Lepisosteus oculatus: one gene and its partners. The protein of the gene in region 3 purifies or fractionates together with the protein of the main gene of each other region. This does not show direct contact. Links are inferred from orthologs where the notes say so. Each region holds a gene or a part of one and is shown on either strand. Other genes may lie near its edges. The genes, in order: kif3a, kif3b and kifap3a.

Region 1 (3,756 bases), on a different chromosome or scaffold from region 3:
ATCATTCTCTCTTTCTGGTTGATTGGTCGACATCGCACCACCACCTTGACATTATCACTGACCTCCGATTTCTCAGGTCTGTCCAGCTTGTTACTCTGTAGAAATAAGAGAATGTTAAGTGGACAGGTGCTATACATGCCTCTCCTATTTAATCCCAATATTGGGAAACGACATAAGTATGTAAATACCTTCAAGAACTCATGAACTTATAATCAGCAGCTATATTACCTTGCAGCTCAAATGGGAAACCCACTGAAGCTAAGCAGGTGTGAGCCTGGCCTATATATAGGGTTGCTGCTAAGGAGGTGTTAGTGGGACCAGTAGAGAGTTCACCCTGCAGGCTGTGCGAGTCCTAATGTCCCAGTATAGTAATGGGAAGATTACACTGTAAAAAAGCACCATCTTTCAGATGAGATGTAAAAATGAGGTCCTGATTCTCTGTAGTCATTAAAAATCTCAGGGGATCTCTCTAAAAGAGTAGTGGTGTCATCCTGGAGCCTCGGCTAAATTTAACCCTCGCTTTTATCCATAATGGCTGCCTAATAATCCCCATCTATTCATCACTATGTTCACCTCCTGGTGCTAGCTGGTGTATGTGGTGAGCATACTGGAACACTATGACTGCCGTCGCATGATCCAGGTGGGGCTGCACATTGGTGGTGGTGGAGGGGAGTCCCCATTACCTGTAAAGCGCTTTGAGTGAAGTGTCCAGAAAAGCACTATATATGTGTAAGTATTATTATTTATTATGTTACCCATTCATTACCAAAAGTCACAAATTCTGGTAAAGGTTGCGACAAGCCAAAGCCTATCACAGAATCAGGGGGTGTGAGGGGGACGAAGAGCTCACAGACTGCTCTCTCCCTCTGGACTCCACACTCTTACTGTAGGGCCACAAAGAAAGTTACAGTTTAGAAGCCCAGAACTAGTCCTTGGGTAAAGACAGGAAACCAGTGCCCCCTGGTGACAGTCCAAGAGCACACCACAATCCAGATTTCCGAGGGAGGAATCAACTTTAGAACTTAACCTGGAAGCAGCAGCATTAACTACTACTAGGCAGTCCTTTATTATATTATGCCCAACCCCTAATAAATACAACATCCAAGCACAAGGTCACGAGTGTTGTACCAGGACATAGTCATGGTCTCTCATAGTCATCATCAATGTTCACAGAATACTACGCTACATGACAGAAAAAGTGTCTCCACATCCATGAGCTCTGTAAGTATACGCAAAAAAAGACAGGGACAACCCCACAATGTAACTGAAGCAACTTCAAAATTAAATTCTATTTGATAAATCAACAGGAATTTTAACTGAGCCTCACCTTCGTTTATCTACTTATCCCCTTCGTGTGAGTATAGTATGCGTGTTCGTGGGTGGGGGGCATTGTGTACTATAAATTGTTTTACTGTATATTTTTAATTTTTTTAAGCCTTTGATAGCTACACCTTAAAAATATGGTGAAAGATCATTCGCCTTCACGTTGTAAACGGGTGTTCCAATGCTTCATTAAAAACAGCATGTACATGTACTAAATTAAACGGTAATTACAAGCAGGACAAATGAATTCTGCCAGTGGCCTCTAAGAACTAACTATACTATATTATAAAATAATAATTTTACCTTCCTTGAGAAGAAAAGGCTAATGCACCTTAAAACCTTGATGAAATTTGCTATTCTAGTGTGAAAGCTTGCACTGAATTTTAAAATAGTTGCCTGACGCCCTGTTCTGGTGATGCTGTCATTCTGCAATGATAAGGGCAGAATGAGTGTGTGCAGTGAAGCCTGTATCCACATTTTCAATAATATTCACTACAACAGGGAGAAATATGGAGATGGGCCTAGTAGTAATGTATCTGGTGATGTCTCTGCCCAGCATCGCACTGCTGTAAACTGAACTGTCTCCATCCTGTCGCCAAGGTTATTGTACCAACCAGTTTATAATAATTGCTTCAAACAGAAATTTCACCGAGGCATAAAACAAATAAGCTAGTTTCCGTATATGGAAAGAGATTAAACCTGATTAAAACAGACGATGCAGACTTTGCGTTTTTAATTTGCATGGGTTGTTTACAAAAACGCAGGAAGCAGTATAACCTACTATGATTATATAACAACAATATCACACAAATCACAGACGGTATGAACAATACTCTACATTTTAAGCATTAAATTAACTAAACAGACGCACTGACATGAATTAGATTATTTTAAGAGAACTGGTATTTGTAGCCGGTGGAGTGGAGAATCGTAAAAATGTCTTCAATCGGGAAGAACGGTGTTTATTCCTATAAATACGTAAAGAAGCGTGGACATACAGTACTTTTCTTGCACATTTTCGCCACCCAGTTCGTGCATAAAGCCGACTGTCCCAAGATATCTCTCCGCTAACAAACCAGCCTGCCATAGCAACACGGCAATTCCATAGAGAAAGGGAGGTACCACGGCTAAACTGACTTATATCATGTACACAGAAACTGATTTCGATCACAAGAAAGAGATTCCCTACCGGCATTTTCTCAAAATACGAGAATTGTCTCCAGGCAGACGATAGGATGTTCTTGCATTCGTCGTTAAAACGAAACAGGCCTAAGTACCGATCTGATTTTTTAAAAATTAAAAACACCGAAGGCAGAGTCACAGCGCTCACTTAGGTGATAGGCATTTTTTTTCTCCTCACGGAATTACTGAGCATGTGCAGTTTCCCTTTTCCAACTGTTGTAGGGAATAGGAAGGACTGACATAAAAATTGTCCATTTGGAAGTAGAAATCTCCCCAAGCCAACCAATCAACTTCATTTAAAGGTAAATCTTTTGTCGATGATGTCATGTGAATGAAAGACTGTTTAACCAATAATAATACAGAGACGAACAAAATTACCCAATCGAAGTGGACAGAGGGAAGGACTAACAAAAAAAAATGCAATGAAAATATTACCTTAAGGTCATCGAATTTATTATATTATGCAGCAAAACCAGTGATTACTCTTTTCATTATGGAATTAACTGCTATTTCTTCTTCAAATACTGTTAAACTAATCATAAATATTTGTTGTTAATATATGTGTTAATATTGAGTAATAAATACTAGCAAATAATAATAATAGTAATTTAATTAGCCGCTTACCTCTGTTTTATGCGTATACAGTACTGTAGTTAAAATGTCTGAGACGTGTACAGCTGTTGTAAAGCCAGCAGATGGCACCGTTGTGCGACAAGAATCCTCTGTTGGAAGAAAGGAAATAAGATGCAAAATGTACCAAAACAATAATAATAATAAATTACATCAGCTCTCGAGGAAACTTTAACGGCATGTTTCTGTTTTTTTAATTACTGGAGCAGCTTGAGTGAGAAATCTAGAAGAGTTCTGACACAAACAAGATTTTCCATAGGCCATACTTTTTTCTAACTGCTTTATTATTATGTGATTTCAATAACATATTTCGAGATAGGATGCTTTTAAATAGTTAGACAATAGTTAGGCATATAAAAATATATAGGCATATGACTTTAAACACATAACCAGTTACAATTACTTAAAAATAAAATTAGTTTACTATATATTTAAAGACTTTGGTGTTGTAAGGAACAATACAAATTGGTGAAAAAATGAAAAACAACAAAATGTAAACATTATTTCACCTTTAGATTGTGCATTGTATTTAAAACAAATGGCCTTGCTTAAGTGCCCACCCTGCAAATGGTAAAGAACTGTCAAACGTTTTGCATAAAATAAAACAAGGATTTCACACAT
Region 2 (3,756 bases), on a different chromosome or scaffold from region 3:
TTTCCACAAATTTCTATATACCTTTGTATCTACTTATACAGTAGGGTATTTTACTGCAGTGATTTGGGTGAAGTACCTTACTGGGGTTTGAACCCAGAAGTTATAAATTCAGAACCTTAACCACAGTTTCACACTGCTGCCACAAGTAAATGTATTAAATGTCATAATGCAACCCCAGCAAGATTTTACCAAACTTTTGTCTCAGTGATTCACTGTTCACCATTAAACGCGCATCTGTTTGAAATGCAATGTTTATATTGACAGAATAGCCCAACACATTTGGGGCCAAGAGATCTTGTTTCAAAATCAATAATCAAATTAAACATAACAACCCCTTGGTGTAACAGTATACGGTAAAAACATGTCATGCACTTGATATCAGTTCATCCATCTGTTGGTGCTGGCAGCAGTGCCTACAATACAGTGGTGAAAACATCAATTTTACAGAACTTTCCTTGCACCAACCTTCACCAGTGAGGATATGAGTCTCATAGTATTTTCAACAAATTTTGCATGGGAAGGTTTCATGAGAATTGACTAGTAAACAGGACATCACTGAGTATTTTATACTCAGGGAATGGTTTAAAACTAATTAGAAATAAGGTCATGGGGACACTAATCTACTACCCATCCCAAATAAATGCTTTGCTTCTATGCCGGCTAGAAACAGAGGAGGGCTAACTGAATATTTACTGCTTCCCAGAGATACTGGAAGATTCAGAGAGCCTTTCTCTCTGTGGAGTCCCATCTTCTAAAAGCCACTGCATACATGAATAACTAACTGGGAGGATGTGAACAGAGACCATTCCGATTACTCGATTTGTCAGCTCCTGCAGACTACATCTTTATCCTAATAACAACACTACGGAGGAGTTCGGTGTTCATGAAACTCTAGAGTATAGAGATTGTCAAATTCAGGCCTATACAGGATGGAATTCCGTATGCAAGCTACTTATCTTAGAGGCTTCTTTTCTGCTTTTTGCTCATTTCAGCTGTGGCAAATTCACGAATTACCTCTGCCTGTTCCAATCCCTGAGGTTTTAGTGCTACTGAGACACAAAATACTACAACATGCTTTTGCAATCCATTAATTTTTTTTTAATGTTGCATAAAAAAAAGGAAAAGTTGGTTCACCGTAACTGAAACCGTTTTATTTTACGGTTTTAGCTTTGTAGATTAAGGGCAGCAGACCACAAGAAAACACGTTAGATCTAATGACAGAATTGTTTTGAGCACATCACTAGCTAAATAAATCACTCTCATAATATTCAAAATAATTTCAAACAATATGCAGAATAGTCTCACAGATTCCATCTCTGATCCAAGACTACTTATATTAGGTACCCCATTTAGAGTAAGCAAGTTTCGATTGCTGTTATTCAGACTTGGCTCAGCAAAAGCACCTTACCTCGGATAGCGTCTTTGAATTTCCTGAAACCAAATCAGTTACTGGACGATGAGGCCCCAAAGGTATTGAAGACTACCCTGAACGCCTTTCTAAAACTTGTCCCTGCATTTGTTTTTCACAATAATTCTCGAATACGCCTTTAAATCGTTACCTCACCCACCACTACAGACAGTACGGACATCTCCAATATGAAACGATATTTTATCTATTGACATGCAGCAGAGGTACGGGAAACTAAACTATTTAACACTAAATAGGACTCTTTTAAAGATTTTAGATGCACTTTTGTTTTATTTTTTGCGTTCTTCAAACCACGATTTTCTCAGCTGTTGGGATGCGCTACAGCATACTAGGGATGGGCATTTTTCTCCTTCGCATTAACACAAGGCAGCTACTCTACAAGACGGTAGAAAACAAGAGAAGATGTACTGCAAAGTATTACAAAATTACGGTTATTCTTGCATACTTTTGACTGAAAACTAATATTATGTCTGGTCAGATATTCAACATTTAACAGACATTCTGTACGTTATCCATTGAAAAAAATGCACTGCAATCAAAACAACCTTTAGAAACGCAACTAAAACGTAATGAAGCTAATTAAGTCTACAAAGATTGTGCCCATATTTAAAAGAGCATTCATGTGAATCACGTCTCCTTGACTGGGAAAGCAAAAAAAAAAAACGAATCACTACGGTACCTCAGCAACCCGAGAAGCGGCCTAGCAACGGCAAAACAAATTAATTTGCACAAAAAAAAACCCAACCTCCTCTAATCCTGTTACTCGTCCGTCGAAGCACGCTAGCTCTTAAAGTGGTTTTAATTTAATTCCCGACGAGGTCAGGCAAAACCATACCACGGATAAATTGCGCTTAATGCGGGGTTACCTGCAGTTCAGTCCCTCTCGGTCGTCAGCCATTACTGTTCAGCCTCCACTGTCCCGGATGGAAAGAGAACTTCCTTGGAAACCGGCTGAAGTAAACCTCCCTACACAGAGCAACTGCGATGATAATGAAATGGTGCAGGATGGCACCTTATCGATGATCCTACTGAGCACAGACAACTGCTTTAAAGTCAGCTTTCGAGACGTGCACTACATATTGTAGCGTACCTATTTGTTCTCCAGTCCGGCCACACTGTAAAACCGAGTCGTTTTTTTTTTTTTTTTAAAAAAGACACCCAGAGGAGATTAAATTTGCCAATTTAATTGAACGTGACTCTCCCTTTAAAAGAAAAAAAAACGCATTATGAAATTAGATGGTGCTGGTAATTTAATAGCCGATATAATTCCAGTGACTCAGTCCTAAAATTAAAAATTAACATGTTGTAGAGAAATTAATATTGTAATGAAACGTAACCCAGGATTAATCTTCTTAAATTATTGCATGAATAAAAAGAAAGCTTACACAATCATGTATTGTAAGAAAATCGCTTCAAAAGTTTATTACCGGTGAAATCAGTTTATTTAATACAAAATACATATCCAATATAAACCGACAGAAATTGATGTCAAATTGACAAAACTGACAAACATGTAAAATTGTTTTTTTTGTTTGAAAAAATACTTCCGATATTTCAGAATACACAATTCAAAATGAATGACAGTATCAAAACACAGCTGATTATCTTGTTAGTCATGTCTGAGTATAGTACATCTAAACGTAGCACTGAATCCCAACATCCACAGTGCTAATGGCATTCACAGTGAAAGCTATAAAAAGCTCTAAAATCTTCCTGACAGTCCATGATTTTCTGGGTTTTTAGTAATACAGTTGAGCTCAGGTACTCTATGTACTCAGAATCTTCAATTTAAGTGTATAAAAAAATACAGTTTTTTTTTCAGCTTTTGAACATCTATATCATTTTGTTCCTAAAAAAAAATTGTTTCAATTGGTATTCTCAAGCTTGTACAAAAACCAGGGAAGAACCCATCTCTAATCTTTCAACCCCAATATACATGTATACACTTGAGCAAGTAAAAAATGACAAAAGCAACAGAAAAAAACACTTAATTTTTCTTAGCCTTAAGAAAGTTTCACACAATTATGTACTTCCAAAGAACTACAGCTATAGTTCTCACATCTTGCTCACTTTGTCCAGTCCCATGGACACGAGATATCTGAATTATCCCAGATTTCCTGACAGAGAGCAAGATCAGGAAGCACCAAAACCATAATTCCTAAAACTCCTCTGTTCCATTCTTGGAAGTTTAATAAACCCGTCCATCAATCTCCCACAACAAATCAGACATCTGTTATCAAACTGCTGAAACAAATGTAATGTGTTGAAGCTTTCTGTATCCACAGATTACAGAATTTACCAGAATTTGTGCTTGTGTTCTAGCAGAG
Region 3 (3,756 bases):
GTTTCTTTCGCTCAGTTCCACATTGTTTCTGCACTGTATCTCTGATCAGATGTTTACCCATGAAAATTAACAAGCAAGTGTTTACATTTCTTGTGCTACCACTAGTTTTATTTTCCACACATCTATCCATCATTAATGATAGTTAACAGTCAAAATATAATAGAATTCCTCACAATGTTTTTTTTTTTAATCAAATCTATATGCAGATCAGGTAAGGCAAAAAGAACTTTATATCATGTGTGTCAGCTGGCTGTCGCAATTAAAAGTAAACAGGTAAAATGTTATACTGTAAACTTAACAGCATTGCGCAAATCATGTTTGTCATAATTGACTTGATCAGAGACTCCTCAATCATTTATTGCTAAAGAGCACTAAGGCATTGTCTCTACAGAAGCCTGTATAAAATAATGATTAAAAAATTATTTGAAGCTTGTATTGATCAGTACATACAGACAGTAGACTTTACTATTACATATCCAATATTTTATTATATTTATTGTAATAAAACCTGTTTTAAAAATATTTTACTTATTCTTTTTTCAGTGCAGAATAGAAAAGTATCCACATAATTCAATTCAGATTGTCATAACATGGATTGTCGTTGATGATGGATCTGAACCAAAGCTAAAAAAGAAAAAGCATTTGACCTGGTCTGAGTCCAATTTAGGTGATAACTGTCAGTCTCAAACATTTAAAAGGGGTGATTCAGAAATAACATTCCTGAGAGAACTCAGTTTTAGTGGGAAAGTGGCAAGTAAGCCTTAGCGAACTTCAAGCCCCGTACAAGGACTTAAACCAAGAGAAATATATTTATTGGCACCTATCAAATCCACAGCAATTCTTAAATATTTCAGTGTCTGTCCATGGAGATTTATTTTACAATAAATCCATTCCAACAGGTTTATATATATACTGCCACTTCTAAAAATGTAAAAAGGAAATAAAATATGAACATTAAAATGCGAACCAATGTAATTTTAAGAAAGCTAGGCTGCACACCAACTCTACAGAATATACCTATTTAAAACATCACCACTTCTTACATTTTCTGGCACTCTTTCCGTTCTCCTAGCATGGGGTCTCCCATCTCACCCAAAATAGTAGCTTCCACCTCATACTGGACAATAAGGGCTTTCTCAGTTGGATGGACATCAATGTTTCCTCCCTTTACTTTTCTGTAGGGGAGGAAAAAGGCACACACAAAACGACTGAAATGCATGCAAGGGCCAGGCTCGCCACTAAGCTTCAGGGAAATATTAAAACAACGGCTTCTTTAACTACTGCAATGGAAGCAAAAAGGGAAATAGATGCTAAGGACTTACCTAATATATTACATAGCGATTTTACAAGGACCACTGTTTGGGGTTATGTCTTTTAAAGCAACCAGATACTGTGAAATTCATATTTAATATCAGCATTTACCAAGTGGTATTCAATCATGTACACAAAAAAAAAAACATGAAAAATAAATTGGAGGTATTTCATAGATATTCTACTTTCTCCTGTCTGGCTCATTTGCTATCATGGCAGCTGAATTAACAGCAAGCAGTCATGCATGATATTGTTTCCTCATTTGTATGGTCTTCTAAGATATAAACTTGGATATAAGGTATAAACAAATCAAGACATAATTCTCTCGCAAACGTCAATTGTCTGTGCTTACAACTCTTTTTTTTTAATCATACGTATTGTGATTATGATAATAACATGCTGCTTAGCCAGACGTTGAGTGACACTTGTCCCTCAAAGAGACAATGGGGTTTGAACTGGTGCTTTAGAAAGCACCGGAGGACAACAACATGTTTATTTTAATATTATGTTTGTTTCCTATTGTGCTGGAATATAAACACGTTCTGCTCCCAGCACAATATGGAGCAGAATCAAACGATAACGTGATGACCTCAGTTATGTGAAAATAATCTAGGTTCCTTTTTTAACTGAAGAAGAAATTACACTAAAAACACTGACGGCCCACACCCAAACGAGCACATACAATGAATAGCAGGGATTCGTCTTGGCAAATGATTCAAACACAGAACTGCAATATTTTCCAGCAAATGGCATTTAATACATATTCGATGGGCACGTATCAGTTTATAGCGCATTTTCTGATAAAAAGAGATGACATGAAGCTATCCCATCTTACACAGTCGCAATAAAAAGCGTTTATTTTTGCTTGCTTATTTTGCTGACAGCCCCTGCAGAATTGCATCTTACCTTTTTAAATACCGTGCGTCTTCCGTTTGCATCGTGTTTTCAATTTTTCTAAATTCGACGATTTGCAATGTTTGTTTCTATGAATTCAACGATCTCACTGTACAGTATTCTATATTTTATGATACAGTAATGATGTGCAACCGGCTGTTTCCGTTGCCAGGGTAAGCCACTACTCATCCCAGCATGCAATGTAGCAACAGTGCAGATAGAGAGGGTCGGAGCTCAGCTGTTTCTGCCGGAATGATTTGTTCTTGCGCCTCCTAATGGCCGGGATGACAAAAACATTTCAGCAGTGCTGAAATCGATAGCTCTTACAGATACCGATACCAGTCATAAACAAACAAGTCCAACCAAGGCCTTTCCTCTTATTTTCGTACAGCGTAATTACTGAATTTGTTAAAGCATTTCGGAACCCCCCAATTTTCTCTTCTATGCCTTTCTGTTGAAGTAATCGCTTTTGACATAACGTCACTATAACCATCATTTTGACTTCAAAGTGACAAATCACCAGCGAGGGCGGTTTAAGGGGTAACTAGTTAACACTGTAGTTAACACTGTCCGTTGGTTTAAAAAATGTACACGTGTTTTTCTGGCATCACGATCGATGACAAGTATTACTTTTTATTTATAAATGTGGAAAAGCAGTAATTTTCTACCAGTTTCGTTTTAAAATGCATTATAAATAGTACTATTCTGATATATTTAAGCAGTTGACATCGAAATGCGGTTGGCAGGATGGCATTTACAAGCAGAAAACGATTCTGTATTTAAAAGAAATGAGATACAGTACATTCCTAAAACTTTTATCATATGGTGAAATTAACTTTTTTCCCCCTTGTGTGAGTAGCACAGATCTTTCAGGATACTAATTAACGAGTTAGTGAAATATATAGTACCCAATGTTCATGTCTTTCCTTTGAACTTGACATTATTTGTAATAGCTACATAATTGTTGTGAAAACATTAACTAACATACCATCTGAAAACGATATCCACTGAATACTAGACTGTGTGATAGTTGTAAGTTTTATTGATCTGTTAACTTCTGTTTTGTCAGGCTGTGGGGTATTTAGGTTGAAATGCTTTTTTCAGTTTTAGATTTTTGGTTTGCTTTTAACGTTTACTTTCCTACGTTTGTACTCAGTACTCAACTTGGCTTCATAACTAGGTTATGGGGGGGGAGGCTGAGGTTTTACAGATGCAGTATACACAAGAAAAACGTCTGCATTAAATTTTAGTTTATTTACTTACTGCACGATTAAATTGTAAAAAAGACGGGTGAATGGCCTGCCCCTGGTTCGCAAGCCTTCTTCTCTACAAATATTTTAAAGAAAAGGTTACAAAGTGTTCTTCTACTTCCTAGGATAACCTGTTGTAAAACATCTTTCAATTTTTAGTGGGAAATTCAGTTTAGTGGTATTACCTCAATAACTACTGTATGTATTTAATAGAGAAGTTTGATAAAAGTCATTTGTGGAAATTATTATAACATTGTTAAGACATCCATTATGAAATTCTTATCATTCAAGCTAAAACTGT

Evidence for each region.
Region 1: the proteins of kifap3a (region 3) and kif3a purify together in Homo sapiens (co-immunoprecipitation; 9 studies listed by BioGRID and IntAct, counting the BioPlex papers as one, with this or other methods). This does not show direct contact. The link is inferred for Lepisosteus oculatus from reciprocal best matches to the Homo sapiens genes KIFAP3 and KIF3A.
Region 2: the proteins of kifap3a (region 3) and kif3b purify together in Homo sapiens (co-immunoprecipitation; 7 studies listed by BioGRID and IntAct, counting the BioPlex papers as one, with this or other methods). This does not show direct contact. The link is inferred for Lepisosteus oculatus from reciprocal best matches to the Homo sapiens genes KIFAP3 and KIF3B.

The regions. Positions count from the first base shown.
Region 1 is NC_090706.1:24,925,475-24,929,230, forward strand, and holds the start of kif3a (kinesin-like protein KIF3A), read right to left. Parts: upstream 2,798-3,756; 5' UTR 2,519-2,797; coding exon 2,513-2,518; intron 96-2,512; coding exon 1-95. UniProt on the Homo sapiens protein: Microtubule-based anterograde translocator for membranous organelles. Plus end-directed microtubule sliding activity in vitro. Plays a role in primary cilia formation. Plays a role in centriole cohesion and subdistal appendage organization and function.
Region 2 is NC_090711.1:3,905,078-3,908,833, reverse strand, and holds the start of kif3b (kinesin-like protein KIF3B), read right to left. Parts: upstream 2,483-3,756; 5' UTR 2,296-2,482; intron 1,631-2,295; exon of another isoform or gene 1,409-1,630; intron 1-1,408. UniProt on the Homo sapiens protein: Microtubule-based molecular motor that transport intracellular cargos, such as vesicles, organelles and protein complexes. Uses ATP hydrolysis to generate force to bind and move along the microtubule. Plays a role in cilia formation.
Region 3 is NC_090704.1:8,064,447-8,068,202, reverse strand, and holds the start of kifap3a (kinesin-associated protein 3a), read right to left. Parts: upstream 2,616-3,756; 5' UTR 2,250-2,615; coding exon 2,218-2,249; intron 1,176-2,217; coding exon 1,044-1,175; intron 1-1,043. UniProt on the Homo sapiens protein: Involved in tethering the chromosomes to the spindle pole and in chromosome movement. Binds to the tail domain of the KIF3A/KIF3B heterodimer to form a heterotrimeric KIF3 complex and may regulate the membrane binding of this complex.